Oreochromis niloticus: one gene and its partner. The protein of the gene in region 1 purifies or fractionates together with the protein of each later gene. This does not show direct contact. Links are inferred from orthologs where the notes say so. Each region holds a gene or a part of one and is shown on either strand. Other genes may lie near its edges. The genes, in order: pbxip1a and slc27a1a.

What was found.
Region 2: the proteins of pbxip1a (region 1) and slc27a1a purify together in Homo sapiens (co-immunoprecipitation; 3 studies listed by BioGRID and IntAct, with this or other methods). This does not show direct contact. The link is inferred for Oreochromis niloticus from reciprocal best matches to the Homo sapiens genes PBXIP1 and SLC27A1.

The regions. Positions count from the first base shown.
Region 1 is NC_031985.2:17,388,115-17,403,892, forward strand, and holds the start of pbxip1a (pre-B-cell leukemia transcription factor-interacting protein 1), read left to right. Parts: upstream 1-9,025; 5' UTR 9,026-9,241; exon of another isoform or gene 9,242-9,497; intron 9,498-10,027; 5' UTR 10,028-10,084; coding exon 10,085-10,156; intron 10,157-11,307; coding exon 11,308-11,392; intron 11,393-11,488; coding exon 11,489-11,556; intron 11,557-13,947; coding exon 13,948-14,587; intron 14,588-15,778. Other genes in the region: cks1b (cyclin-dependent kinases regulatory subunit 1), read right to left, coding at 5,091-5,140, 5,679-5,806, 5,970-6,028. UniProt on the Homo sapiens protein: Regulator of pre-B-cell leukemia transcription factors (BPXs) function. Inhibits the binding of PBX1-HOX complex to DNA and blocks the transcriptional activity of E2A-PBX1.
Region 2 is NC_031969.2:23,174,960-23,191,313, forward strand, and holds the start of slc27a1a (long-chain fatty acid transport protein 1a), read left to right. Parts: upstream 1-10,317; 5' UTR 10,318-10,462; exon of another isoform or gene 10,463-10,631; 5' UTR 10,632-10,731; intron 10,732-11,013; 5' UTR 11,014-11,014; coding exon 11,015-11,181; intron 11,182-11,279; coding exon 11,280-11,674; intron 11,675-13,355; coding exon 13,356-13,523; intron 13,524-14,133; coding exon 14,134-14,203; intron 14,204-14,306; coding exon 14,307-14,398; intron 14,399-14,476; coding exon 14,477-14,586; intron 14,587-14,698; coding exon 14,699-14,908; intron 14,909-14,995; coding exon 14,996-15,122; intron 15,123-15,224; coding exon 15,225-15,362; intron 15,363-15,872; coding exon 15,873-16,037; intron 16,038-16,161; coding exon 16,162-16,308; intron 16,309-16,354. Other genes in the region: CD97 antigen, read left to right, coding at 175-328, 438-560, 649-842, 922-1,086, 1,182-1,376, 1,524-1,741, 1,823-1,883, 2,009-2,100 and 3 more; ptger1c (prostaglandin E receptor 1c (subtype EP1)), read left to right, coding at 8,848-9,678, 9,827-10,006. UniProt on the Homo sapiens protein: Mediates the import of long-chain fatty acids (LCFA) into the cell by facilitating their transport at the plasma membrane.

The DNA of each region.
Region 1 (15,778 bases):
CCACAGAGACACTACAAGCCTACAGTTCAGATATGGTTTTAAAAATGTGATTCATGCAAACATAAGATGCAGATTAATTCTAATATAACACTGAGTCAGACATTTGTGTTAATTTTCTGTGTTCATTGCAGAATATATGCAAGATACCTGCTGAATTAATGTAAACGAGCCCCTCTGCCTTATACCTGTGTTGCACTGCCCCCCACAGTCCAAAGTGTGCAACTATGATTTTGTGGATGGTTGCAGAAACATTTGACACGATGCTGTATTTGATGAGGGGGTTCTTTTTCATTTGTTTCTCTGTGAATGAGTCCATCACTTTGTGACTAAAATCATTCAGCTTAAGACATCTGGTGCGGATGGTAAACACCTTTTATTTACATGTCTTTGTTCTCAGAAATGATCGATTTTTGACTGCCAAAACCAGGGGTGTCACAATATTTTATCCTGTGCAGCTCAATTTGACCTTAAGTGGACCACACCAGTGAATCAGAGTGTTGCCTAATAACCTACAGTATTGTCCAAAAGTCTTGAGTCACCCCTCGTTTTACTTCCAATGAGCCAGACTTTGGTGAAACGCAACTTTCTTTCGGATAAGCGGAGGAAAAAAGGATAAGAGGCAGGCCTACAAAACAATCTACAGGAGATGAATAGTATCTGAAAGTCATGTCTTTAAGAAATTAGGGAAAACGTTTGGCTGAACTATGCCAAATTACATAAGAAATGAACTGAGAATAAGTAAAAGCAGGTTTCAGGAAGTGATGAATTCAAAATCCAAATTTTGGTTAAAATCATTCTCAATATGTGCAGAGGTCAAGAGAGAGGTACAACAGTGAGTGTCTATGGGCATCTTTAGAACATGATGGAGGTTCTGTCATGGTTTAGTGCTCCATTCCTTCCAGCAGTGTCCATGATCTTGTTAAAATTGACAAAAACATTATGCACAGAGAAAAGTGCTGATTTGTATCCACCATGCAATGCTATCTGGAGTTTCATTTTTCAGCATGACAATGGTTCCGAAGATACAGCCAGTGTAGTAAAGGCACACCTGGATAGAAAAACACACACTGGAACACTATCAGTCATAGACTGGCCTCCCAGAACCAAGAGCTCAACATTATTGAAGAAGTGTGGGATAACCATGACAGAGAGCAGAAAAAAGGCAGCCAATATCCAAGGAAGAGCTTTAATTGTCCTCTCAGAAGCCTGTAGAAGTATTCCTGAAGATTCCTTACTGTAGTTCCATGTATGTTTGCATGTTTCAATAAATCTCATGTCCCATTTCCCCTGGCAAAATACAAAGAAATGAAGTGTGATGCATTTCTTCTCACTGTACTATATTAAAAACAACCGTCAAGTGTTTGCCACAATAATCACCTGGACATTGTCTTGGAATTAAAACCTGAAAAGTTCGGTTAATTCACACACACACACACACACACACACACACAAATAGTTGTTATGGACCAACAATTTCTATGGTAAATATGAAAAAGTGTAATTTAATAGAATACTAGTGGTAAATATCTGTCATTGGCTCAGTCCGTGATTTACTTACATATTTTCATATAGGATGCCAGATGTCTTTGTCAGTGAGAAATCTCTAAAACTGAATATTGTTGCATTGTTAGGTACTTCTCCTTTGCAATGCTGACATTTTCTGAGCCATCCAGTGGGCCAGATTGAACCCTTTGGTTGGTCCAGGCCCTCAGGCTGCATGTTTGACACTCAAACAACCTAACCATTTTTTATTGCTTGACCCATCTGAGGATTTATTACACTGCAGGACTGCTGATTTATAGACATACATACTCTCAAGTGTTGTAGGAAACTCAACCGAACTCTTTCACATAAAAGAGGGAAAATTCATTTTTAACCTTTCCTCCATGATACTGAGGTGTTCTCACCTTTTATCTTAGCGACCTCTTTCAACTTCACGCAGCATCCCTCCTGAGGTTTGTTACTGAGTTAGTACAGCTAAAGTTGTTAGTCAAACAAAAATGTACTTTTTTTAAGTCAGCGATGCAGTAAGCAAGCTAAAATTTCTCCAGTTTCTTGATAGCATCATTATAGGATTAGTCTTTGAAAGTCTGTTTATAGTTTCTCAGAATCTGACACTTTAGAGATCAAATGATCAAAAAATAATCAGATTAAGGGAGACAAAAAAAAATACTTGTTAGGCTATTTGACAAATGGACCTATTAAAATTCTGCTGTCAAGTGTCAAACTCAGTATTTTTGCTGTTGCCGTCTGCTTGTTTTGAAACCAGGACATGACAAATGAGGGGCAGAGAAACTCAAGGATACTCCACTGTCATGGGCTAGTGACTTTTTAGTCACGTAGCAAAGTATACCATTCTTTCAATTTCAAATGTGTTCCATTTAAAAGACAAAGTCAGACATCCTGACTTCCCAAATTTGAGCTGGAACGTCCCTTCAAGTCGACTTCCTACTCGTAAAGTCAGAGAAGCCACACCAACCACGTCTTTCCTATCCAAGAGGGGAGGAGTGTATAAAAAAAAATAGTAAAACTGTAGAACATATAATCTGTGCCTCCACCATCATGTATTTGTGACTCACCAAACCATACAAAGAGTACCAAGTAGGCTCTATCTTGTTACATTTTCCCCACTGCTACTACTGACATCCAACTTCTGAACGCAGCACAATTTTCCTTTTGACCCTAACAGGTGCCATAATTTATAAAATGAACGCCATGTTGTATTAAATAAGACTTTAAACTACCAATTTACGCCACAAACATTTCAGGAAAGTGTTTACTGAGGTCACAGATCAATAAAACAAAGGGACATCACCTCATTAATTTTATTACATTCTCACATTTTTTTTAAAACCCTGCAGGCCATTGGGAACAATGCAGGTTTAAGCCTCTCTTCAGATCTTGAAGCTACAAAATTCTTGCTCTAGTGAAGCAAGTCTTACACCATTCGCCCTATCAAGGCTTTTTTGTCTCAAAATTCAAGCAGCTAAACTTGGTTCATAAATAACTCGCAAAACAAGTCCTCTGAATTATTCAGCCTCATTTCTGGTTTTGATCCCTGTGGTTAAAACCCCCAGTACAACAATAATCCATTAACCTTTTACACAGAGCATAACTGCTAAATGTGTGGCAAACATTGTGCCCGTCTCTCCCTTTATGTAAGTACGCCATCGTAACAACATGCACGTTCAGGAAAACACTCCCAGAGAAAGCTACTCGTAGATGAGACACATGCTGCACATTAAACGGCAGGAACTGGTGGTGGTTTATAAGCAACTAATAAGAAAAATGAGAGTCTAGTCACAGTGTCAGACAACAGATGCAGTGTGACTGCCACTGGAAGAACACCAACTGTGCACCATAATGTCACAAGTCAGCTGTCTGGCACACAAGTGTATTTTGTGAGATCACACTTTAATCTAGTGGGGCTTGCCACATTACAGTACAACAGGTAAGGCAATAAGGGCAAGCTTCTTTTGTACATGTGCCAATTTGAAAGCGGCTATAATTCGCACTTATTTGAGCAGCATGTTAAGTCACAGTCTTGGGTCCAAAGCTTAAGGGGGGGGAGGGGACAAACTATACAAACTGAAAAGATGTCATTAAAAAAAAAAAAAAAAAAAAAAAAAAAACCCCACGCACACACACCTTGCGTAATGACTGCTACTAACTATAGATGAGACCAAATATTGGCAAGGTAATATGCATCATGAATAAGAAATTTTAATGCTACAGGCATCAGTATGTTATCTGATTATTTTAGCCCACACAGCAGAACCATGTCAATTTATCAGGATTATAGAGGCTAACCTGGTTCAGAATGGGCCTCTGGGGGATAACTTCCACAACATTAAGTGTGATTGATCAGCCTGCAGTTGATGTGTAGGTGGATGTCAGCTGGAAGTCACCGACATTATATACATATTTGGAGAAGATAGAGTTGCTGTTTCTTTGCAATCATTTTGCATGGGTTATTTGCCTTTTGGGGAAACATCAAAACTCCCTCTGCAGTAAAAACCTTATCAAATGCATCGCTCATTCAGTGCTTCAACCAATGCAATAAGTTGTTCATGGAGATGTTTTTTCAGGATCTGATGGAGTTCAAGTATTAAGATTTGCATACTATGGTGCAAAAGTCAGTTAATTGGTAGGTTTACAGTTATGAGTTCCAAATATCTTGTTGCTTCTTCCTGTAGTAATTGTGAATTTCAAGGAAAGCCATCAAGTGCTTCATACAGATTTGTTTCCTCACATAAACTGGCACCAAAATAGATTTATTGAATTCAACTCTGCTCAAGCTGAAAATGTCACAAAACTCCATGTTGTAAAGATTCCCCCCCACCAACATTCAGGTTCATGCTGCATTTTCAGTAAACCAGCCACTTCGCCACTATCAAAACACAAGTCCACACTAAGATTTAAAAGATTACATTTATTTCAGAAAGGGCAAAACGTTTCATAAATACTGAGCAGCTCATTGGTATAGACCCAGACATTAAGCCAGAACTAATATACATGCTTGAGAAAACTGGATCAAGATTAGCATCTATCCAACTCAAATGCAGGCTTTCCCTCATCTGCATATGGCAAAATGTCATTAAATGCCAGTCTACAGTGTCATTTTAACCAAGCAGCAACATGAGACTTTGAAGCCACAAATCAAGGTTTCAAAGTCCAACTCAATTTAGGATCCAACTATTCTGCTAGAGCTCGACCCAGAAAGCACTTAGAATAACTCAAATGGTTGATCAAGTTTCACTCCCCACATCTTACAGCAATTGTTCTAAAAAGCTGGAAAAATCCAAGCATGTTCACAAGATGGACAGGTTAAGTCAAAAAGGACAGTTTAAGCTGAATTGAAGGTTTCTGGCAAACGTCGTGTTGCTCTTAACACATGCAGAAGTCTTTTCCCCAAATAGGTGGGTCATAGTTTTTTCCTTCAACACAATCCATTCCATAATCACTGTTCATAAATGCAGCAGTCCTTCTCCAGGTCCAGCAAAATCAGCCCACATGGCAGTTAGAGCATGGTGATGAGTTGATCTGCGACATGGTAGACTGATGTCCCTGAAGGACCCAGAGAATCTCCTTTATGATTTTGGGTTGGGCAGAGGGCGTCGGAACAGCAAGATGTGCGGCTCTGGAGGTGGAACAACAAGAAAGGCTCATTATCTTGTGGAAACCAGCAATTTGAGTTTTTGGGGGGGCAAACACATCTCTTGTAACTCTTAATTAACAAGAGGGCGTGCCCGGCTGGCACACCGGGCCACAAAATACAGTAGCAGTGACCTCTAATCTGCATCACCTCAAATGCAAAAACTTAAGTTTTAAATTACTTTGTTTATTTAAATGTTAAATTATTCTCTTCTGTAAAATTAAAATTCCTTGTTTTAGACTACCGATTGGTCAATACACTACTTTGCCACCTGGTCATTCTCAGAGATTTAGTTAAAGGTAATATCACAGGGTGAGAAAAACAGTAGTGAAAGTGATCAGCTGCGGTTTTAGTCTAATTTTGAGTTGGCCTTTCCTGCAAAATGATCACCATGAACTACTACAACTTGTCTCAGTTCAATATTATCAACAAGCTACACCACCACACACCCACCCGCAAGCACAAACTACCAAACCAATATTTAAAATCATGACGCTGACATAACTGGGCTGTCAGTTATTACCTGGTTGGTGAATCATGTAATGCACCCATCCTTGACTCTGTTGGACACCAAGGTTTCTCCACTCGGTCTCCGACATAAGATGGGTTTTGGGAACACGCTTGGCAAGCTCTTTGGGTAGCATTACATGCCTGCGGGGGGGAAAAGGTAGTATTACATTGTCAACGCAGCTGTGTTGGGCATTAAAAAAAATACTCATGATGTGTCGTGTAACGAGTTGGAGACATTTTCTGCAAAAAATCATCTTAATAAAACTTAATTTAACTGCATGTCGTAAAAGCATGTCTTACGTACCTGTACTCGTATTTGTCGTCGTCATATTTGTCAGAGTAGTAGATCTGTTTGTGAGACATGGTGGTACCCTGTGGGAAACATCAACGGTCACAATTAGAGAAAAAGGCAAGAAGCAAAGGAAGGCTACATGAGTGTAGCTATGCTATAGCCGTTCAAGCTAGGTCGACAAGACTTTAAGACAAACATGCGTGCGTATTTATCGTCTTAAAATCAAAATACGTTGTTGTCAATGCCCAACACGAATAGTTAAGTTTAAGAACTTACCTTTTGTTTCGTTTTTTCTAATTAACAAACTTTCCCAGAGGTTTTAAAAAAGCCAACTATTCCAGATATTTCGCTTCCGACAGCGACGAATTGTTTGCTCTCTCTTTGTTTCCCTCTCGAATGCGTGCGAGCCCGCTTTTCACCGTTCAAATAGACCTCGCCTCGTCCTATTGGTCAATACGACGGAAAAACTCGTCTGCTATTGGTTACGTCTATCTGTCGCAGGACATTGACGTAACTTCTTCTTTGATTTCCTAATTCGTCATCAGGGTGGAAAAATCTGGGAAAAAAACAAAAAACAAAAAAGCAAACATCTAGTTTCAGTCCAAAGTTCGACCACAGTTCTGTGCTGACATGCTTTGGTGTGATTGCATAACCAGTCCCAGACTGAGCTTATAATCGTTTTTAGCGGTGATATCGTGAGAAAGTTTTAAGTCTATTATAGTTTTTGACACTGTTTTATTCAATTGAAAGACAGGTGACGTCAACGAGGTGCTGCAACAGTCTATTTTTCTTATTATTTTAGCTCTAAATTTTTAACATTTCAAACCGTTTTCACTTCAGTTCGTTTCCAGAATGCATTTTCTCATTGTATCTTAGTTTTTATTTTTATAAGAGTTTATTTTATACAAGCTTCCGTATTTTTTTATTATTAGTAGTAGTAGTAGTAGCAGTAGTAGTAGTTTATTTTTTTTATGATTAAACAGATAACACTGTGATCTGTAGTGATAGCTGGAAGCATGTGGAAGAGAGCCTGGAGAGGTGGAGGTCTGCAGGTAGTAAAGATGGATGACTTTTACATATTTCGGGATCAACCGTCCAAAACAATAGACTTTGCACGATAGAGGTGAAGAAAGTCCAGGTGGAGACGATTGATATGTGAAGAAAGAATAGCATCGAGAATGAAGGTTAGAGAGGCAAGGATGAGATGGTTTGGAGATAATCAGAGGATGGATAGTGGATATATTGGGCAAAGTTACTGAATATGGAGCTGCCAGAAAGAGAAAGACCTCAGAGATTATTCATGTATGTAGCAGCATTAGTTTTAGTTAACCAGCCTGTAATTTATAGTCTAATGTTATCATTTCACACCTATGGGCATTTTAAACACCCTACATGTGTATCTAGAATCTCTTAACTTTTTACTTCTAAATAAATTCTAAACGGACCTTTGCCCTGAAACCCTTATAAAGACCGTGAGACCACCAAGTTATTCTAGCTCACTTTAGCTTGGCCTGCAGTACTTCTGTGAGGATTCTTGGGCTTAAATCCCTCCTACTTAGGGGCTTAAAACTTTCCTTTTTAATCAAGCTCACATCGGGGACAGATCATGTGACCCTGAGCCACCCCTTATTTATGCTGCTATACACCCTGGCTGCCCATTATACTAAGCAATCCTCGGCTTTTCTCTCTTTCACTTTCCAGTTATTAATATATGCCACCATCACGTTATTATCTTTGTGCCCTCTCTTTCCCGTAGTTTGTCCATTGTCCTCTCTGTGTTTTTCTGCATCCTGAGATGAATGTTCCCTTATCCCCCAAGCCTGCAGAGTATTTATTGTTATATTGTTTGCAGTAGCTTTGTGCTCTTCTTTTCTCACCCCACTGTCAGATGGCCACCCTCCCCGAGCTTTGTTCTGTGCAAGATTTCTTCCTGTTAGTAATGAAGGTTTCTCTCCCCATGCACTGTCCTCATTTGCTTGCACAAATGAATGTTTTTTTGTCTTTAATATTGTAAGGCGAGGTTGTTACATTACAATGTAAGAGTCCTGGGATTACTTTTGTTGCTAATATGCATTACAGTATGCACAATATAAATAAAATCTAAGAGATCCATCTTTATGCAAAAGTGTTTCTCTATTTCCTGATTTTTCCCTCTTATTTGTCACACTTACATGTTTCCAATCATCAAACAAATTGTAATATTAGACAAAGATAACCTGAACAAATAAAAAATGCAGCATTTAAATGATGACTTCAAATATTAAGGGGAAAAAAGCTATCCAAACCCAGCCCTATGTGAAATAAAGAATTGCTCCCTAAACCTAATAACTGGTTATTAATGCAATTCCTTTATCACACAGGGCCAGGTAGGTTTGGATAACTTTTTGCCTTAATATTTGAAATCATCCCTTAAAAACAGCATTTTGTATTTACTAGTGTTATTTTTCTCTGATATTAATTTTTTGATGATCTGAAACATGTAAGTGTGACAAAAAAAAAAGAAGGAAGGAGGGCAAATGCTTTTTCACACCACTGTATGTGTACATTTACCTCTGGGGATAGACCACCACAGTAAACATGAGCAGGCCCAATCTTTACCTTTCAACACCTCAAATAAAATAAATCAACTTTCACACTGCTGTCAACAAGACATTTTTATGTTGTTGTTTGCTTTAGGAGTACAGAGGCGTAAAAAGGAAAGTGCTTATCCCAGAGAAAACACTTAAATGACTAATTTTAGAGGAGAAGGGTTAGGAGATGATGAAATGAATGCCCACATTGGAGCAATAGTGGGAAAGGGGTTGTCCACTCTGGCAAGTCCCGTACAAATATAGTTCAGCAGACGTGTCAGTGAGCGACTGGTGGCTCCTGTATATATATATATATATATATATATATGTGTGTGTGTGTGTGTGTGTATATATATATATATGTGTGTGTATCTTGTGGGATCACACATGAACTTGTATTATTATAAACCAAGGAGAAAGAGCCGCGACCATCACCTGCCACTTTCACCTGCGTGCGTCAATCAAGCTGGGATGCACGTCGCTTTCCTGACGCGACACTTTTATCCGATTGGTCCAGCCTTGATTCGGGGGCGGGTGCTCCCGCGGCTTTGGTGAAATCCCATTGGATGTGAGACACGTTGGTCGACGTGACGCTACTTGGAATTCCCGAAGTTCCCAAGTTCAGAGGAGGAGAGGAGCTGTGCTCGTGCTAAACAAAACAAAACAAAACAAAAGCAAAGGGCTTTGAAGTGGAAAACGCCGAGCGACTCAAGTGTGAGCACGCGGGGTAAATAAACGTCTTCTTCGCGTTCGCGGTGATGGAGCCGAGCTCGTGTCGGGGACAGCCTGCTTAACAGCTGGGCCTGAGTGAGAACGCGGAAGAGTGGGAGTGGGAATATTCAGCCAACCATCCTTTGTTTACCATCATGAGTGAACCTTGAATTTGGTTGCTACAACAACCACAGCCCCCCAGCATTTACCTCTTATATGAGCAAACCAGAACTTTAGCGCGCGCTAGCGTTGCCGATAAGTGAGTATTGACCTTTATTTGCACGCTTGGATCAATGAAGTACCCGTGCAGTTTGGGGGGGCGCTTGACCATTTTTGGGCATTTAACTGCTGCACAGATTGACTGGATGAATGGATCTGAATGAATGGCTGGCTGGAAATAGCAGTAGCGATGAATGCAGTCAGGAGATTCTTGTTTTCTGCACTGACTGAAGCCTTTGTTTCACTGCGCAGCGGTGTATTATGGATGCCTCCGTTACATAACTTGAATCAGCGACAATCTGCTCTTTATCCCGTTTGCGTTTGCAAGGTTTTAACTGTGCCACAACTGCGCGATTCTGCCCTCTTTTACCGTAGTTTTCAAAATTGCATGCGAATGCTGCATAAAATCACACACGGCTCATCGAGTTTGTGCATTTTTTTTAATGTTCTCAACTGCGCCTGATGCACCTGAACTCGTTGTAGTCGGGTTATTGCATGTTGATAATGAGGCTCGCATGTGTGCATTAGGCGTGCTCGCTGAAGACACGTTGTTTCTGTCGTCATATGCAGGATTTTTAAAGCTCAATCTGTCCCGTGTGCTGTGCCAAGTTAAGCCTGACGGGGGCGATGTCTGACAGCAGCAACAGCACAGGCAGCACAGGCTCCTCCACCAACAGCTGGACCCTCCTTTCCCCCGAGGTAAGACGAGATGAGCATAGCTAAGGAAAGTCTGGGTATCATTTGGAGCACCATGATTATTATCCTGCTCCGTGAATACTGGTTCATTTATAATTTGTCTTGTCCTAACCTGCAGCCCAGAGCGGCTTAAAGTGGGAGACATCCTGGTGAATGTTTGCAGAGCGCCAAATTGTGACTCATCAGGCAGATAATGTGCACAGTTCAGATGGAAATAGGATTTATTTCACTTTTGCCTTTTATTTATGTTTTATTTATACTATTCTAGCAGTTCTCATACTTTATCCAATAATGTACCCCTGTGGAATAGCTTTCTATGCCACTTGGCTATCTGACCAGCACAAGGTATTTATAGCAACGCAAATATCCCAGTATACACTGTGCCAACTAAGATAATATTGTAGTCACACTGAACTGAGTCTTTCTGGTATGTTGCACCTCAGATTTAGTGACACACGTGTGCTTGCACTTCCCTGGGAAACGTTGTCATTCTCAGTGGCAGAGAGGCAACTGCAGTCAGTCGGTGTGATATGCAGGAGCAGGGTTTTTGAGTCATGAAAGAAAAGCTGCGGTGGTTTCAACCACAAATTTCTGTTAATCATTAAATATCAGAAACGGGCTTCCCACTCACAGTGACCACACTGAGGTTTAACAGCAGCTAAGAGGTGGCACTCAAAACAGAAGTACTGAATGTAAAATGTATTTTTTTATTGAAGTCATTACTGTTTAATTGCTTCCAGAACTATATATAACTGGCTTTTACATCAGCTTTTATACCAACAACTTGTATCCCATGCAGTACTCAACTTCACAGTTTTTTTTGTGTATCAGCTCAGTGTGCAAGCATGACTTGGCCTTGTTACCCAGCCTCGTTTGTTAGGATAGAAAACCCACGACAGCTGCATGGATATTGTTTTGTCAGTTTGGGTTGGAAAATGTGTAAAAGCTCATCAGACAGTAGTTTGACTGTGATTTGTAGCTTTTGTTATCAAGTATTTCAAGATCATTACAGGAAAATCTGACTTCATTATTAATTGGTAAGCAGTGCCAGTTGTAATCATTGGTGAGTGTGAATGCTACTCTAAATGTCAAGGTTATGGCTACAGGTGTAAATTTTTACCAGCCGGTTCTCATTAGGTCTTCTCACTCAACAGGAAGCTGCCATTGAGAATGTCGGGCCCGTGGACGATGGCACAGAGAGCCTGGGGGATGTCCCCAGTCTCTCCGAGGAGGTGGCAGGTACTGACAAGTCAACATATCTGCCTGGTGTCTAAAGCTGTGACTTTTTCTTGTGTTCTACATCTTTGTTTTTGCATTGTGTCGGTGTTATTTCAGGAGCTGCTGTGGAGTTCAAACCAGTTGGCATCCCCATAGAAACTGTACTATCTGAAGAAGGCCACCAGGTTAGTAACTACGCAGCAGTTCATTAAGAAGACAAAAATTCAATCACATCATATTTAGACTGAGATCACCAACTGTGCCAAATGTATTGCTGTTTGACAGATCACAGCTGAAAGCCAGAATATCATCTTCTTTTCTGAGTTTCGTAGCTGCTCAGAAGGTGCAGCTCCACCTACTTTACCACAGTGTGTAACCTCAGGGTATTTTTGCACATCAGGATAGATTTAAGAGGGGGGGGGGGGGACACATCTGCAAAAATATTTTAAGTAGGAGCACTTCCTGGATTCAAATTGTTTGTGTGAGGAGGTCTTTGGAAGTGATCTATGATTTAAAACCCCAAGCTCTCTATAAATAAATATCATGCCTTTCTTCTCATAACATGGTCACATTTCACCTAAAAAGTTTCAAGCTTAAACCTTAGGAATTTTTAAAATCTTTTTATCTGCATCTTATCTTCCAATCCTCCATTTAAGAGAAATAGAGCTTCTTCTCGTTTGTCCTCACCCTGTCTCATAAAGCTTATGTAAGATCTCTGAATTATATTAAAAAAGCTTAAGCTTTGCCTCCCTATTTCCAAATAGAGCTTTTCATTATGTTAGCCTCTAATTTCAACTCTTACTTTGCAATTTTGTCTGCGTTCCCATTGCCCTCCACACTAACATGAGCATAAGTCCAGCAGGACTATACACTCACGCCTACTCCATGTATTCTGACTATTTTTGTAAGTATTTCCTTCAAATATTTACCTCTGCTTGTTTCTTTTGACTTCAAACTACCAAGGACTGGTACAGAGTCTCAATAACTCCTAAATCAGGTCTTCTGATGTAGCAGGTCTACAACTGTAGAACCTGTTTCTGCTGTAAGTACAGGTAATCTGTCTGTAGTCTTTTTCATATGACTGCACATAATTCATACACGCACTGCCACCCAAAATCCAGTAGTAACTGCTGGCTATATAGTTATCACAATGTTACCTGTAATAACCTTTCACTACAAATCTGATTAGCATAACAAATTGAAGAAACAGATGGTTATAATAATTCCTATTTACACAATAAAAATAAAAATAAATATCCAGTGTTATTCATATTTCTACCAGTGAATTTTCTCTTCTGCTTCAGTCTATAGTGGGCACCAAAAATATCCATGGGCAAATTTACACACAGAATTTGGCCCATACTCTATTTAAACAACGACTTAACTCCTCAACCTTTCTGTTGCTTTGTATACTCTCAACAATCACACAGCATCTACCCCAATATGCAGCTGACAGCTTTGATCGACTTACATGTAAATGAACATTCATCAGCTTCCACCAGCAGCACATTAGTAGGAGTTTAATGTATTAAGAAGGCCCGAAGACGTCTAGAAGTGACTAATTAACTGTTTACTTTGCACAGTTTGACCATAAAACTTAAGCTGCGTTATCTAACCTTCTCTTCCTGGTAAAGAACACGTAGCATGACTTCATCACTCATATTTTAAAACCACAGTCATATGACCATCTTTCTATCTTAAATGTTTACCCCTTCAAAGCCTGTTAGGAGTAACACTCGAAGCTCTTTTCTGAACTTTACAGATGCCTGAAAAATTAATAAATAAAAATGTAACATTTTAATTTTAAAACCTGTAAGTAGAATAAGAGTAATGATTCATCTCTATTCATCTACATAAAGCTATTACTCACTATTTCTACCAACATTTATAAAATATAATGTATCATTCTGTTAAACACAATAGGACTAGAGTACAGTTTGCAATCTCAAAATTCTCACATAAAAAATTGATCTTTAATAATGACTTTGTATCCCTGCCTGCATCAAGACACTGAAAGCAGAAAATGACAGATGTCATAATGATAGATGTCGTGTTGACTTAAAAAAAACTTACAGCTGCTTCAGTCTTACTGTCATGCTCATGTAATATCAATTAAAGGGTTAATAAAATTGTCAAAGTAATCCTGGTCAGCATCACTTAATGAAAGAGAAATACTGTAAACGATGCTGTTTGCAGGGAAATGACCTCAATTACATGTAAAAGTTGCAGAACTTTATCAAAAAATAAAATGGAAAATAACAGCCATAAGTTATATTCGTGATCATTTTTATGCAAAAAGAAGTTTAATAAACAAATTGTACAAACAGAATTACTTTTTAGATTCATGCAAGTGAACGGTTACTCGTTAACACTTTGAGCAACAAATGAAGTCATCATAGACAGGGTGTTTCTTTTTCATTCATTCATGACATTTCTAAACAAACATCTCGTTAGCAGACATGTTTAAAATATTTTGTGCAGGAACAGTCAACACTGAAGTATTTAACAGTTTAACCACCACTCTGTTATTTGAAGGTTAATTAAAATGACAGTTACATTTTTGTCCTTGTCATAAGGTGTGTCAAGAGACCTCTCCAGAGTCCAGTGAGGGTCCTGTCCCTTCTAGTCCATCCCGTATGAGCCCTCTCCCACCCAGCCTTCTCGACCCACCAGATGTGGATTTGGAGAGTCAGCCTCCAGTTATCCATGACATTGTAACCAGTTCTCCCAGTGACAATGAGCACCTAGGTGCCATGCCATTTGTCACCAACATTGACATGGGGGCTCCACTGGATATTCCAGCTGTTGAAGTCCCCCCAGTCGAGTCCGAGGAGTCCTGCTCTGCACCTCAGATGACTGAGATCCCGATCTCTGCAGAGCATGAGCTCCAGAAGCCTGCTGATGCTGGACTGATTCCCGCGAGTCCTCCTGGGGAGAGTCAAGTCTTCAGTGCTGAACCCGAGGTTAAGATCCCCACCGAGACCCTTACAGCCACGGATCTCCCGTCTCATGTTGAAGCTGATATCAGCTTTGTTCCAGACAGCACAGAGTCACAAAGCCCAGTCCCCGAGAGCCTGGTGACAGAACATCCTACTGATGAAAGTCCTGCACCAGAGACTGTTGGTTCAGCTGAGGCAGATGAGGAGGCGGCTGTTAAAAATGAGCCCGCAAAGCCATCGGAGCCAGTGAGGCAAGATGAGAGAGACGATGAAGAAGGTATTTGATTATCCTACATAAGCGTTTCAGTAAATGTAAAGGCACTCGCACAGTATTCCCAAATCCAGCCAGACACACACGGCTGTGTATTCTACTTTTCTTTGATTTTTTTTTTTTCCTCAGTAGAAATAGATTCTTTCAAAATATCTTCACATGAAATTATCAGTGATGGCAAAAACAGTGTGATTGGAAATCCACAGTAAAGCCATGGTATGCAAATAGCTTCAAGCACGTAACCTCATTTTAAGAGGTTGTAAATCAAAGAGTGTGGAAGATCCTGCTATGATATATTCTCTGAATCCTGCAAAATTTATTTTCTAAAACTTAAATTGACTATCTTCTTTTAGATGAGAGATAAAATATCTTTTTTCAACAAGCAGGACAAAAGCTTAAATAAAATTAGAGATGTAACAAAAAAAGAAAACTAGCGCAATAAGAAAATGTAATTAAACAACACAAGTTTCTCATTTCTGGGGAACCGGTCTTCTTATTCACTGTGGGAAATGGACACCAGAGGCTGAAGTCAGAGCAAAAATTTGTTGTTGGAGTCTTGTGAACGTCTGTCTCCTCTTTCTGTGCGCAGTTAGAAATATACATTACTGTGCAAAAGTCTTCATTTCTTTATATTCTACTAGAAAAATAGGAAATAAGTGCAGTGATTTCTTAAAATATGCACTAACATTAAATGAAAATACAACATGCTAACGAGGCTGAAAGTCAGTATATGATATGACCATCTTCTTCACCATAGCCTCTCTTTGGCAAGCGTTCTTCTTTAAGTGGTCTTCAGGAATAGTACTCCGCAAGGACATCCAAAGCTCTTCTTTGGATGTTGGCTGCCTTTTGTTCTGTTCTCCCACACTGCTTCAATAATGGTGAGGTCCAGGCTCTGGGGAGGCCAATCCATGGCTGATAGTGTTTCATTGTGTTTTTTCTATCCAGGTATGCTTTTACTTCACTGGTAGCATGTTTGAGATCATTCTCATGACTAAAATTAAGTTGTTTCAAATTAGACATTTCCAGATGGATACTGCAGGTGAATCAAAATCTTTACTATGTTCAGAATTTCATCAGATCTTACAAGATTACCAACACTACTGGCCAAAATGAGGCCCCATGACAAAGCCTCCACCATGTTTTACAGCCATCTGTAAAATATGGTGGCTCTCTGGCTCTCTTCCACAGCATGTC
Region 2 (16,354 bases), on another chromosome or scaffold:
CTGCTGCCTTTTTGTGTTGCTGAGCTCATCATTTCATTCTTTTGTTTTATTTATGTGAGATAGACTAAAGCCCCCTGTGACCCTGAATGTGTGTCTGCGTGTCTGCATGTGTGTAAATATTGCCTGACTTAAATGTATTTTACTCCATCTTCCTCTCTTCCCCTGTGCCTGTAGAGATTCCTGAATATGACTGATGAGCTCTTGTCCAGTGCATTTCTTAATTATAAAAGGAAAGTTTCAGACTTTCTTGACTTGGTGGGAAATGCTCTGAGGCTCATAGGACCCTTGACTAATTCTTCAAGGATTTATATCTCCTCCACTCACACAGGTTAAATAGAAATTAGAAGAAAATAAATCAATTCAATTTTAGATTATTTTTAGTGATATAATATTAGGAAACAGGCAATGCATGTTCAGAAAAGTCTGTCTGGTTTCAGAGCTGGACATGCTTGTACACAAGGGGCCTGTTATACCTAAAGGAAACATAACATTATCAACTAAGCATGCTAACTTGGACATCCAGATGGAGATAGCTGCTGGAGATCCTGCCTATTACCCCGGTAATCACATGCCAACAAATACTGCATTTCTAACCAATTTCATCAAATTATCAGCCACTCTAATGATGCTCTCCTTTCATTCTTACAGGCTTTACAACAGTGTCCTTGATGAGCTACTCAAACCTGGAAAACTCTACAGATGGCTTCTTTAATGGAATGAAACCACAAAAGAACCAGAGCTTTAAGATAAACTCCAAGGTGGCGACTGTCACTGTCAGCAACAGAAATACAAGCCACCTCAAAACGCCAGTTAACCTAACTTTGTACCACCTAGAAGAACAGGTAGACGTTATCTCTTGTTTGTTGTTTCAGATTGTGGTGATCACTTTTGCCAAAAAAAACACATATATTTGTTTTATAGGCAAATCAAACATTCCACATCTGTGTGTTCTGGGATTCCTCGTTGAACGGAGGATCATGGTCTGATCGTGGTTGCAGTGTGGCGGAGTCAAGCCTGGAATATACTTCCTGTTCCTGTAACCACCTGGGAACCTTTGCTATACTCACGGCTCACAATGAAATTGAGGTTTAAACTAATTAACCGCAACATTTAAACCTCAGACTATTTAGTAGTTAAACCTTTAATCCCCTTACATGTACTTTCATTTACTTTCCCAACAGGAGAAGTTTGAGTTTCATCTGATCATATGGGTGTTCCTGTCCCTTTCACTGATTTGCTTATTCATCTCCATCTTGACATTCTCAATGATCCGCTCTATTAAAAGTCCAAGAACCACCATCCACCTGAATCTCTGCATCAGCCTCTTCATTGCAAACCTTGTCGTTCTAGCAGGAATCTCTCATATTGAGAACCAGGTAAATACTAACAGTGTTTGCTGCTCAGATGAATGCAGATGCAGATTTTTTTACTTAACTTTAATTGTGATGTAAAGGGACAAAATGAGGAAAAGAACAGAAGTTTAGTAAGTCTAGTTGGGCAACATCTCATCTCTTCTCCATTAGGATGGCTGCACAGTGGTGACAGGGATCCTGCATTTCTCCTATCTGGCCACATTTTTATGGATGTGTCTGGACAGTGTACAGCTGTTCAGGATGATAATGCTTGTTTTGAACACCAACTTTAAAACCCTCCACATGATGGCAGCTGCCTATGGAGTTCCAGCTGTTATTGTTGCCATCTCTGCCTTAGCTAATTCCAAGGGACATGGTACTGAGAGATAGTACGTTTCCTCTATTCCTAAAATTTTATCATCAATTTATCCTTGTATCCCTATCATATTAACTCTTAATTTGCATTTCAGTTGTTGGGTAACCCAGGGATTTATTTGGAATTATTTTGGCCCTGCATGTGTAATCATCATTGTAAGTAAAGTTGAAATTGATTTAGGGAAATGGTTATAGAGTTAAATGACGTGTAAAAAACAGCTGATTTAAACATAAATGTTGCTTTTTGTTGTTTGTTTGTTTGTTTGTTTTTGTTTTTTCAGGTAAACATTTTCTTCTTTTTCATAACTGTATGGAAGTTAGCACAGAAGTTCTCAAGTGTAAACCCTGACCTGGATGATCTGCACAAAATCGAGTAAGTCACCAATAACCCATAAGCTGCGCATAAAAATCACTATCATGATCCTGTTTAGTTTTGGTTGTGCTGTTTAGATTATTTCTTACATTGCTTTAGAATTTTTTATCTAGGTTTTGGAATTTTGTTTTTGGATTGGTCCGTAGCCAACAAAGGCTTATTTTGCAATCGGTCATCTATTTTCTGTAGCCCACATTTGGGTTTTCATTCTTGCATGCAACGTGTTTTCTGCAGGGCATTCACCATTAGTGCATTGGCTCAGCTATTTGTATTGGGCAACACCTGGATCTTTGGTTCTTTCCAGTTTCAGGAAAACCATACAGCCATGGCTTACCTCACCATCTTTGGCAGCCTGGAAGGAGTTATGCTCTTTACCGTGTATTGTCTGTTTTCCAGGCAGGTTAGTAATATTCATGCTTAACTAAATGACAAGTTTTTGCCTCTCGGTAAAATTTCATTTATATCCTAATTTTAGGTGAGGGAAGAGTACAAACACGCCTTGACCAGAATTTGTGCTCCTCGGAAGAAGAGTGACAGAAAAGCTCATGTAAGCAGTTATTTACTGAAGTTGATGGCACAGATTAACATTTGATTGGCAGTGGTACTGCCACAAACTGTTCCTGAAGTTTCATTTTGAACACCTTTAAAATTTGACCATTTTGTTTGTTTGAAGATGATAAGCTGTTGTGAAGGACACAAGATGTGAAGTGAATAAAATCCTCCCGTTATAATGAAAGACATTTTTGATCACTTTTTGAATATTCTTCATTTTGTCATCATCAGGTTTCGAAGAAGGCCCAGGATACAAGAGAGTGTCAACTTTGAGGAGCTAGACAGTAATATATATATATGGGTGTGCATATATATTTATATCACCTGCCAGCTAAAAACTGCTGACATGTATATTTCAATTTTTGTACTGGATAAATATCTCTTAAGCAATCTTATAAACGTGGAGGGATGAGGACTTTGTGTACTTGTTGATTTCTGTAGAATTCCCCCGGTCATTTCTGAAGCGGAAATTGAGTAAATTGAAATATAACCACTACATGATGCTAGCACACCAGAAAAGAAGGCTGATGGTGTTGCTGATAAGACCACTAACAGTAACTTCACTCAGGAAACACATCTGGTGTCCCGTGTTTCAAATATTATAAACAGTGAAGGTTGAACGGGTTGACCAGGTTCGTTTTTTTTTCTTTTCTGTAATACAGTTGCAAAGAGCATTTATAATGTACAAATTAAGAAATATAAAAAATGTAGTATCCTCATTTTGAATGAGCGCTTCTATGATTTGTTTATATTATATTTTCACACCAATATATAATTTATGTAATATCTATCTATAGCTATAGATGCCAATATATAGACATGTATAATCTGTAACATGATTTTATGAAATAATATTGAATAAATGAAATCTGTGTTTGCAACAAACTTTTTCTCTTCTGTGTTGAAGGCGATTGCTTAAGTTTTTTTTTCTCAGTTCTTCTTAAATGTCTTCTATCTGCTCATCTAGACATTAACAAATTTCAAAAAGGAAATGTCTGTGTTCACAATGCATCACGTATCAACACACAAGGCAGTTATTACTGTTTCTGCAACGCTGGCTTCAGACTAAAATCTGGCTGATTTAAGTTGTCTAGGAATCTGGAACAATGGGAAGGTGAGGGCTAAGTATGACATAATGCAGCAAAATTTTTATCGTCTCTAGGCATTGTTATATAACAATATAATTAGATTGGTAATATTTAGAAAACTACTATAGGGGTTGATTACATTAAATTGTAGAAGCTTAATTTTCAGACAGCTGCATATGGTCAGAAAGAAAAGTACACACAAACTTGGAAGAGTTGGCCAGATTTGTAGTGAAATGGCTGGGAATGGACAGATGCAAGGGTATTGATGATTACACCCTAGTTCAATAAAAAGGATGTATGTTGTATCACAAGACACAATGAGACAGCTCATCAATTTGTTCATCTACACGGGGCATTTTGTAGAGGGTAGCAGCTGTGGCAGTTTGTCTTGAAACAACAAATGTAATCTCCACATTATGATGTTTTTCTCAAAATAGAATTACTACTTTAATCTCAAAATCCATCCATCCATTCTCCATCCATCCATCCATCCATCCATCCATCCATCCATCCATCCATCCATTCTCTTCCGCTTAATGATCAATAATATTTTTGTTCTTAATAATGCCCATTTCCACTGCAGAAATGGAACCATTTCGAGGCAGTAAGGATGCAAAAAAACTGAACTGGAGTTGTGAATTATCTGAAATAAATCTCTCAGGAGCTCAGAGACAGTAAGAAATCAGTGGACCTGAATGAAAAGGAAATACTAGGATAGAGTCTGCTGACCCTAAGATGGATGGATGTTGGGAAACTGTTCGTGTCGCGCTGGCTAATTTCTTTCTGATTAATTTGTTATGACTTTAATTAATAAATTAATAAATAGACAAAGGGCATTAGTAAAGGTGACTGGGTAGAAAAATAGGAATAATTATAATAATGTATTAATTTGTTTATTTATTTATTTGTTGAGTCGCTTGAATTAAAGCTGAGATTCTTTAGCTTAGCTTTAACTTGTTGCATTCTCATCTATTGAGAAACAGAAATAAATTATTTAAAATTGTGTCACGGACTAAATATTTTCTGACTCCCTCTCTTCTCCTGTGCCTGTAGAGATTACTGAATTTGACTGATGGCCTCTTGCCCAGAGCAGTCCTCAATTCTAAAATGAAAGTTTCACATGTTCTTGACTTAGTGGGAAACGCTCTGAGATTCATAGGACGCTTAACTACCACTTCAGAGATTAATATATCTTCTACTCACAAACGTTAAATAGAGGTAAATCAGTTGAATTTGTGACCATTCGATAAGTCGAATTCAGCCTTTGACTTTTATTGATACAATATTAAAAAATAAGCAATACATGTTCAGAAAAGTCTGTCTGGTTTCAGAGGTGGACCTGCTTGTACATAAGGGGCCTGTTATATCCAAAGGAAGCACGGCTTTATCAACTAAGCATGCTAATTTGGACATCCAGATGGAGATAGCTGCTGGAGATCCTGCCTATTACCCTGGTAATCACATGCCAACAAATACTGCATTTCTAACCGATCTTATCGGATTGTAACCCACTCCAGTCACATTGTGCTTTTATTGCTACAGGCTTTACAGCAGTGTCCTTAATGAGCTACAGATAGCTTCTTTGATGGGATTAAATCACAAAAGAAAAACAGCTTTAAGATAAACTTCATATATAAGATTGTTTTTAGGCCCAAATGACGTTTCTTCAAAAAGAATGTGGAACAAAAAAAACTGTTAAACTTGATTGCTTGTGAAAAAATAATATCATTTTTAATTTGGTGCCAAGAACACATTGACACAAAAAAATGTGAGAGGGGGAAGAAAAGACTAAAAAAGTTATATAAAGATAAAAACTATTACAGCAGTTCTTCCCTTCAACACCTTAACACTTACAGTGCTTTTAAAAGAATTGTTGATGCAACACAGAGAATACACAATTTTGTGTGTGTGTGTGTGTGTGTGTGTGTGTGTGTGTGTGTGTGTGTCTGCGTGTGTCTGCGTGTGTTGCGTACAAAACGCCCCAACTTTCTTGGTAACATGACTTTACATATAACACAAAGCTTGTTACAACAATTTCCTTTCAATTTCATTTCTGTTTATTTATTTTTCAAAAGAAGCTTGAAGAGATTACACAGATAAAGCAGAGCTCCACACAGGGTAACATAATAATGCTTTTTGTGTCATCCACAATTTCTGACAGAAGGACTTTCTGACATCTCTTTAAATTAGTCAAAATTGTATTTTAATTATTTTCTGTTTTATATTTTTAGAAGCTTTAAACTGAATACATACATATTCTCTGTAATGTTTTTGGCCTTTGTGTATTGACAGTTCCAACTTCATTCATTTTATTTAATCTTGAAAATAAAAACAGTGGAAGGATAAAGAGATCTATTTTTCTTCAGTCGTTTAGCAGAAATAAAATGATGTAAATATGATCCTACACAGTTTTGTTAAAGAGCTCACAGAAAATAACTTCCACTTCCATTCAATGACATTTTCCATCTTTCCCCTTATGTTTCTTACATCTGAGGGTTCAACTTCAAAGACTGAAATAGTTATACTCAGAGAGGAAATGGGAGACTGTCTCCACTTCCTTCCTGTTTACGTAAGATCACAGATAACAACTCTGACGTCTACACATAGGTTTATGAATAATGCTGTTTAAGTTATCATTGCAAATTCCTTGTTTAGAAAATGTTTAAATACATGTCTAAAATACCTTTTCAATAATATTATTTATAATATGTGAGATACCTGTTAGGATGTTGTTTAGCATGTGATGGTGCATCTCCTAACTATCTAATTATCATCTCCTCTTTCAAACTCTTTTGATGATTTTTGCCTGGTGTATAAATGTTGGAATTGGAGGAAGAAAATGTTAGTAAGGACTAACTCTGGTTATATTTCAACATTTGGGCTGACACCCATTTTTTGAGCTCTACTCTGTTCCAAATGAATATCTGTTATGAGTAGATTAAAGGACATGTTCAGACGGGGAAGAATAGTATGCAGAGAAACCTGTCTGCAGATAGAGAAAGAGAAAGGTAGACCAGGCAGGAAGAGGAGCTTTCAGAGGACAAGAAAAAAAATTAGGGGAGGGGAATGAAAGTAAATAACCGTAGGCAACTGTGATCATACTGCGATTTGGTACATGAGGCGTCTGTGTTATCAAGAGGCACATTCATCTTCCTTCATTCCTTTTGAGTGTTCATCCAAAGCAGTCTGAAGGTAAGTTAATGGCAATTTACTACATAGAAATAATACCATATGTTTAGATACATTCCCCTCTACTAAAATAATTTAAGCAAAACCTGATTGTGGGGAGATCTTGGCAAGACATTTCTTTTTTACCTAAAAAAAAGAAATAAACAGGAGAAGGAAAGTCTTGATTAGGGATGGGTATCGTTTAGGTTTTATCCGATACCGGTGCCAAACCGGTACTTTTGAAACGGTGCTGGTGCTTAAACGGTGCTCAAACCGGTGCTTAAAGAATGGAGAACACAAAACCTCTCATGTTTAGCTGTTTTTTTGTAAAAAAAAAATAACAATGTAAGCCTTTTCTGCAGCTGTAGGGCATATATGGTATCACTCTTGGCTGGAAGCAGTGCTTAAACAATGGAAAAAACACAAAATTGGTCCAAAAACCTCTCATGTTTAACTGTTTTCCACTTTTTCTTTGGTCATTTTAGCCTTTTTGGCCAGGGTGAAGGGAGTATCTGCCACCAAACAAGAAGACAGCCGCATGTAGCTATGATGATGTTTGCTAGTTCACCTTACATGCATTAATGTAATAACGTGGTTAGCCTACTCAATGTGAATTATACACGAACAACATTAAGCTACTCACGCAGAGAAGAACGGCTGCTGCTGCCATCATCATTTCTACTACACTGGCAGGGCTAGGGGCCAGGACTCTACTCTTCGGGTTTTTGGGGGGTTGTTGCTAACTCCGGGTCCGATAACAGGCACCACACCCGCAGTAGATGTGCTCGGTGTGAGGTCTCGCAGCAAGCTAAACACGGCGCATTTCTCGGCTTTAAAAAAAAACGCTATGCGTCGCCAGGTGTTTCATCGGATTCGAGGTGTTACCTCCTTTGACAGTATCACAGTATCAGCTTAAAGCACTTGTTGCAGGCTGCTGAGTTTGCATACTTTGCTGCGAAGTACAGCCAGACTTTTGACCGCTTCGCCTTTTTTAATCTGTAGCTCTGCTCTAAAAGAACGTACGTACCTGAGCCCGCCTACTTTCCTCGGAAACGTAAAATGATTGGCTAGAATTGGCTCAAGAAAAAAAAAAGAGCACCGAAATAAAGCACCGAAATGTGCGCTGCTTTTCGGTCTGGTTACTACCGTTTATGTCAGAACCGGTGCCATCATGGCACCGGACACCGGTACCCATCCCTAGTCTTGATTGTTTTTAAGAACTATATCCAGTCATAGTTAGATGACAACCTTCTTTGGTCACTAGTGACACTTTCCTATTACTGAGTATTACCCTTGAATTCCTCTGTAATTATCTCAGACTTACTGAAATAACTGATTAGCAGACCAGAGGAGATTATTCATATTCATTAAAGCTCTAGTTGATGTTTCTCTATTATCTAAGGCCTATAACATCAAAAGCTTAAGTGCAGTTTAACTGGAGTTTTCCCCACTATCCTTTACCGTGTTGCTTCAGTTCATTTATGCACAGCTCTCTTAGATGAGTTGAGGTCTGGGGCATTGCAGCACTCTGTTTTGTTTACTTTTCAGCCGTTCTGTTATAGATTTGCTCGTGTACTTCAACCAAGCCTGTTGCATGACCCTATCTGAGTCACGTTTTAAGCATTATTAGTCTACATCATTCATTAGGAATAAAAGTAGGGTTTTATCTACTGCTTTCCATTGTTGCCAGGGAATAGATGCTCTTCTAAATGCTCTTTAAATCCCATGTGTCAGAAACATACCACTTATTATTACTTTGAGCTGCCCAGTAAAGCATGTATCTACTGAGTTTTTGTTTGTTTGTTCTCTGATGTGTTGTTGTCTATGATTTACTTGAGATATCTAGATGCCAAAACAGGTTGACGTTAGCTAAAAAATTGTAGACTTTAACTAATGCATGTTCTTTTAAACTTTTTCATAATTTTTTTTGTAGGTATCAATGGACATGATGACAACTTGCCAGCTGAATCAGACATGTGGCCAGCCGAATAGTAGCGTCCCACCTCCCATGAGCAATTCAGGCTTAGCAATATCCTGCTTCACAATGTTATTTGGCACCATTTCCAACCTTGCTGCACTGGGCATCCTGGCCAAGTCTCGTGGTAGATTCTCCCGCCAGTCGAAAGCACCGTTCCTACTTCTAACAGTGGCTTTGCTTTTGGCTGACCTGGGAGGTCATGTGATCCTAGGTTCCTTTGCACTGTATCTCCACATGAATCATCAGTATACTATGAAACTATGTGATGTCTTTGGAACAAATATGGTGTTTTTTGGCCTGTGCCCCTTGCTGTTCGGTTGTGCTATGGCAGTGGAGCGCTGTGTGGCCATCACTAAGCCCTTTTGTCGTGTTACTATGATTACTGTGGCTCATGTGGTACGGGTGGTGTTATTCCTTTCCTCTCTTGCACTTGTTCTGGCAATTCTGCCTTTACTCAAAGTGGGGACTTATACTATCCAATATCCATGCACCTGGTGTTTTTTGAGAGTTACTTCTCCATGTTTCGCAGCTGACACTTACCTGGCTTTGATTTTCTCATGTCTGGGCCTCACTGCGCTCACCCTTTCCCTGTTCAGCAACACAATGAGTGTTGCTGCATTGGTGCATGCCAGAATGAAGACCCCCAATGGTCAAACAAACCACACAACCCACTTTGGTCGTCGTGAATCATGCACATCATCTTCTTCGCTGTTTTTTTCATTGGATGTGGAGGTAATGGTGCAACTGGTAGTCATCACTGTTGTTTCCTGTGTCTGTTGGAGCCCCTTCCTTGTGAGTGCTGCTTTTGTTATTCTGAAGACTTTTTTTCTGGAATAATTTAGATATGATTTATTTTAATATTAGATCTGACTAATAAAAAGGGACAAAGAATAAATAACACATCATAATTGTTTTCTCTCATTTTTCTCCTACATTGTAGATCCAAATTCTTCTGATGCAGCTCAAGCAAAGCCCTAGTACATCAGCTCAAAAGCTCATCTATGTGGCTTTACGTATAGCCTCCTGGAATCAGATCTTAGACCCCTGGGTTTACATCTTACTGAGGAAGACAGTGCTCTTCAGAGTTTGTGGACAGAGATGGACCCTGACAAGAACATAGTTCCACTGTTTGCATTAACTATATTAATCATGGACTTTTTGTATAGAGCACATAGATACTTTCTATTTATATACAAACCAATAGCTTATTTACAGAAGCAGTTAGTGAATAAGAGATGGGGGAGGACTTGAACTACATTTCACAACATTTAGTAGTCTGTACCGGTTCTGTCATCAATAGCAGCTACTTGCAGATTGGCCAATGGGGCGGTGTTAGTTTTGACCAATCAAAATTGAGAAAAGCTTGACAAGCAGCGAGTTTAACAAATAGCGGACCTGCAGGAGGAGGTTAACGCCCGTGGTGGGTGGTGCTTCTGTGCCAGCGACTCTATTCAATATGGAGTACAGAAAATAGCCACATTCAGCTGGAGTTTAACTGTTCTCATTCACATTTGTGCCACTCGGGCACAAATTATACTCGCAGGCTCGTAGAGGACACGTGACTGGACTCGCTAACGTATGTTTGACATATTTATAAATGTACTTTGAATAAACTAATAAATACTTGAGCACAACTGCGCTGTAAGAAGTAAAAGTGTGGTAAGACTTGGAAAAAAAAATAATACGGATTTTCCTGAAAACGCTTCATTGCGGACTTTCTCGACGCTCCCAACAAACAACTGCAGGACGATTTGAAATACCGCTGGTTTTCTAAATAATAAGGCGGGCCGACCGGCGAGGTTATCGGGTGAAAGGTGACAGTGCTTCTGTCTAATTGACCTGTAGGTAAGTTATGCGTTTAAAGTTTGTGCGTAAACAGTGGTTCATGGTTTAAATGCCGCTTGTTCACATACGATGCTTAAATTTGAGCCGAATTTCATGTAAAAACGTAAATTCCGTTCAGTGGCGTAATGCGATGTGTTAGTTACAACCTGTAAAAGTTTCTCGTGTGTACTGACCCGCAACTGTAGTACTTTAAGCCTCCAGAGTGGAACTGATGTAGGCTTTAGCTTAAGCCAGTTCTTTCTGCTAAAAGCTTCGTCTTTCTCCTTTTCATACTGTGACAAGAATGCACAATGCAGCGAGTGTTTCAGCCTCTCTGGGGTCCGTGGGACTGTGTCGGCTCTTCGGGGTGTCCTGGCCCTGGAGTCTGGCAGCAGGTCTTGGGGTTTATCTAGGCACAACCAGCTGGAAATACTTCTACATTGCAGCACGCACGGCCAAGAGAGACCTCACGTAAGTTAACGGCATCTACATGAAGCTGTGACTCATATGCGTGTTTATCTGTATACATCTTTGTGCTTACACCTGATTTTTCCTGTCACGCTCCCCAGTGGCTTGTATGTGCTCATGAGAGTGAAGATGGCCTTATGGCGCTACATGCGCCATGGAAGCAATATTCCTTCCATTTTCGCCCAGACAGTGAAACTCCACCCGAATAAACCAGCTCTCATCTATGAGGCCACAGGAGAAATGTGGACCTTCACCCAGCTGGATGAGATATCAAATGGAGTCGCCCATTGGGCGAGAGGTCAAGGATGGGTCTCCGGAGATGTTGTGGCCCTTTTCATGGAGAGTAGACCATTACAGGTGGCCCTTTGGCTGGGTTTGGCCAAAGTTGGAGTGGAAGCTGCACTCATCAACTTTAGTCTCCGCTGTGATCCTCTTCTGCACTGTATTGGGGTATCAGAGTCACGGGCGATTGTGTTCGGAGCTGAGCTGGCTGATGGTAAGAATGTAGAGATGACGTAGAGAGAGCTGATCATGAAATAAGTATTTGTTTTAATTTTGTATAAATGGAGCTGTTTGTATAAATATGTGCTGCAGTATTATACTGTCAGCAAGGGACATGTGTTATGTTTGCACCCACAATACAACTAGTCTCAGCTACAGATTCCTTGCTTGATATCTGTAACGGTATAGTAGATGGTCATCTTAGGTGGTGTCTCGTTGTTAACACTCAGTTTGTATTAGAATATGTTATTAATTCCTAAGGAAATTATGTGGTTACAGTTGCTCCAAGACAATAAGAACAGTAACAGACTGAACTAAATTAAATAATCTAAAATATTACAAAGTTACAAAGTATAAGAAATAGCTCAATTATAAATATCCAGAATATTACAGAGATTAAATATATGAGTGACACTGTACTCTAAACTTTAAACTGTAAAACTTTATTTTGTTATTGTCACTGTAGAGCATATGCAAATATTAAGGCTTTAACTATTGCACTGTGTACTGTGTATTAGATGGAGAAATTGTATAGAGCGAGAGCCTCAGGCAGGAATGATTTCCTGTGTCGTTCAGTGGTGCATTTAGGTAATCTCGGTCTCTCACTGAACGTGCTCCTGTGACTGGGCACTCATGGAGTGGGTGGAGGGTATTGTCCAGAATTGTCCTTATCTTGGACAACATCCGCCTCTCTGACAACAGCCTAAGGGAGTCCAGCTCCGTCACAGCAATATTGGCAGTATCAGTTTATTGACTCTGTTGGCATCTGCGACCCTCAGCCTGCTGTAAAACAAACAATAATAATGACAGGGCCTATGAAATGTAAGACGTGTTGGACCTGTTGTTGGCCTCCACGCTGCCAATGAAATTCTTGGTGAAGCTAGTTAACGCAGTTTAAATACAACTTCTAAAAGCCAGAGACAATACCTGATATGAATTTGGCTGATCTCTCCTTCAGTTGTGCAACCTTGAACTCTTTAGTTTGTTTCCAGAGCTATTTTTAGATTGCTTAGTGGAAGTCCTATTCTGATCATTTACAAGTGCCGTGGATCCCATGAATCTCAAACTTGCACAGAGAGAAAACATCACCAACTGTGTCAAATTGGCAAATGTCGGGAATTTTTGGCTGTACCAACACAAGTATGTGATTAGATTCCCTGCAACTTTGTCCCCTTTACCAAAGTGGAATTCAAGTTAAAGGGCGAATGAGAATCCCAAAAGACCAAGTGGTTGAAACATAAGAGTTCAGAAGTGATCTAAAGATAGCAGATTGTGGTGAATTACTACCCAAGGTTATGACCTTGAAGAGCACCAGGTAAATTAAAATCATCTAATGGTGTTGGACAACTTTATGATCACACACATACAATCTAGATCAGGGGTCTCGAACTCCAGGCCTCAAGGGCCGGTGTCCTGCAGGTTTTAGATCTCACCCTGGGTCAACACACCTGAATCAAATGATTAGTTCATTACCAGGCCTCTGGAGAACTTCAAGAAATGTTGAGGAGGTCATTTAGTCATTTGAATCAGCTGTGTTGGATCAAGGACACATCTAAAACCTGCAGGATACCGGCCCTCGAGGCCTGGAGTTTGAGACCCCTGATCTAGAGAGTCTGAACTGAGCTGACCTGTATCCCATTTTTTTATATCTAACTATGTTTCTTCCTGAATGCCAGCTATATTGGACATCAGTTCCACCATGAGCCAGTCCGTGGTACGATTTTGTACAGGAGACCTCAGTGCAGAACAGTTAGCCTGTCTTGCTGCTCAACCTCTGGACCCTATTTTAGCTGCTGCACCTAAACATCCCCCTTCGCCTTGTGTTCCCCCTAAAGGAATGAATGGTGAGTATCTCACTAAACTCAGCTCTCACTCTGACACTTAATCTGTATGTTAATGAGTGACTCTATTTCAGATACCTTCTTAAACAATTTCCTTACAATGTGTGTAGCTGTTAACCTTTGGTTCTTGGTTGATTCTGAATTCCTAAAGTGTATGCGCCATAGTAATTCATTTTTCTCACACTGCTATTTCTAAACTAAAATTGCTTTCCAGTAATTATATATCTCAAGCCTGATAAGGAAAATACTTGGCTAATAATGTGAGTCATTTTATGACAGTTGCATTCATTTTTCTTAGACAGCTGTCTGGAGCAGATAAGAGTGACTTGCTTGCACTGTCCAGTCTGGATATTAATAAGCCATTTCCTAGCCCAGTGGTAAATCTGTCTTAGATGAATTAACATATAAGCCAGTATTAAAGGTGTGAGCTTCAGATATACCTTACATAACAGTTGAGATGAAATTGCCAAGGGAAATATTAAGCAAAGTAGAAACGATGTCTGCATTTTCAGTTCTTTAATGCGTTGGTTTCCAAAATGCCATCCCAGCAGTAAATGAAACACTATGTAATTTTGCAGGGTGCATTTTTATGCTATATTCTATTGTTTTGCAGACCGCCTATTTTATATTTACACCTCGGGGACCACAGGACTGCCCAAAGCTGCCATTGTGGTTCACAGTCGGTATGTTTTCTTGAAGAACCACTACCAAAAGAAAAAAAAAATCACCTTTCTTCAAAGTTAATACATTTAATGTTTATCTGGGAATCTCTGTTTTCTTTGACAGCTATTACAGAATTGCTGCTTTTGGATATTTTGCCTTTCGCATGCGCTCTGATGACATTGTCTATGACTGCCTGCCTCTCTATCACTCAGCAGGTATGTGATGCTAGTCTACAGCTTTTAATGATTACAGTTTCACCTTCTAGGTTTAATCAAGCTTTCTTCTCTTTCCAGGAAACATTATTGGAGTTGGCCAGTGTCTGATCCACGGCCTCACTGTTGTAGTGAAGAAAAAATTCTCTGCCAGCCGCTTCTGGGAAGATTGTATTAAGTACAACTGTACCGTAAGCACCTATTGATTTCATTAGTATGGCATTTATAATAGTTTTTTGAAGTTATTCATAAACCATGAGGTTTTGAACAATAAGATTTATTTTTTTCCCCCTCGGCTTGTAGGTGGTGCAGTATATTGGGGAAATCTGCCGCTACCTCTTGTCTCAACCCGTGCGGCCAGCTGAGAAGCAACACAAAGTACGGCTTGCTGTGGGAAATGGATTGCGCCCCAGTGTTTGGGAAGCCTTCATGGAGCGTTTTGGGGTGGCGCAGATTGGCGAGTTCTATGGGGCCACTGAGTGCAACTGCAGCATTGCTAACATGGATGGCAAGGTCAGCAGCTACCATGTAACTTTACATGCATGTCCTCACTATTACAATGTTAATTGGATCAGAGTTTAGCAAATTCTGTCCTGCCAGGTGGGAGCCTGTGGATTCAACAGTCGTATTCTTCCCAATGTGTACCCCATCCGTCTGGTGAGGGTTGATGAAGACACCATGGAACTTGTTCGGGACAGCCGTGGGTTCTGTGTGCCTTGCCGCCCTGGTACTGAACATCTATACAGCAGTTACAACTTTAAGGGTTGGGAGTCTTTGACCTATGCTGGTCTTCTTAGAGTGCTAAATTATAGTCCTCCATGCCTTGCAGGGGAACCAGGCCTTCTGGTAGGCCGCATCAACCAACAAGACCCATTAAGGCGTTTTGATGGCTATGCTAACCAGGATGCTACAAAGAAGAAGATCGCTCACAATGTCTTCAAGAAAAATGATTCTGCATATTTATCAGGTTGGGAATCATTTTTGTTTGATGCACCTATAAAGAAATTATTGTCTCATCTTTTCTAAACAAACATTCATGAAATCTACTGCAGTTCAGTCGGCTTGGCAGGAAATGGAGTAAGTTCAGTGTCTGTTGCATTTGAGATCATTCAGATCACCAGGAGTCATTTCTCCCTGTTGTTTGGCAAAATCAGCAAATCACCATATGATCAAGATGATAATGATGTCTTGCACAAAGTTTTGTTGTCAGAGTTTATATATAAACTTTTACTGTGACATCCTGCTTGCTACAGCTGATTTGTCTATGTAGTGGGAGCTTCACCCATTTTTCTGTCTGTCAATGTTTATGCTTGCATAGCTTGCGCATCACATTTTTAAAATTTGCTACATTAAACTTGTGTTTTTCAAGTGTTCAAGGGAATTGTTATTCAAACAAAACTTGGAAGTTTAAATAACTCATGTCAGTGATTAATAGCTGTAAAAACCACACAGGTACTTTGCTTTACCTCCACCCCAGGTGACGTGTTAGTGATGGATGAGCTGGGCTACATGTACTTCCGGGATCGCAGTGGGGACACCTTCCGCTGGCGAGGGGAAAACGTCTCCACCACTGAGGTGGAGGGTATACTAAGCAATCTTCTGGGTCAAACTGATGTTGCAGTGTATGGTGTGGCAGTGCCAGGTAATGGTTAATTTAATTAACTGCCTTTAGCATTGCATTTGGACTATGTAGTTCCCCCTTTTATTGTTTAGTGATTTTGAAAGAACTCAATAATACAACTATTTATTTCTATGCTTAACTCCAGGTGTGGAAGGTAAGGCAGGCATGGCTGCCATTGCAGATGCCACGGGGAGTTTTGACTGCAGCAATTTCTTGCAGAATATCCAACGAGTTCTTCCTCCGTATGCTCGCCCAGTGTTCCTGAGAATCTCCCCACATGTAGACACCACTGGTAAACTGCTCCTGTAGCCCTCTCTAGTTTTATGCTACCACTGATG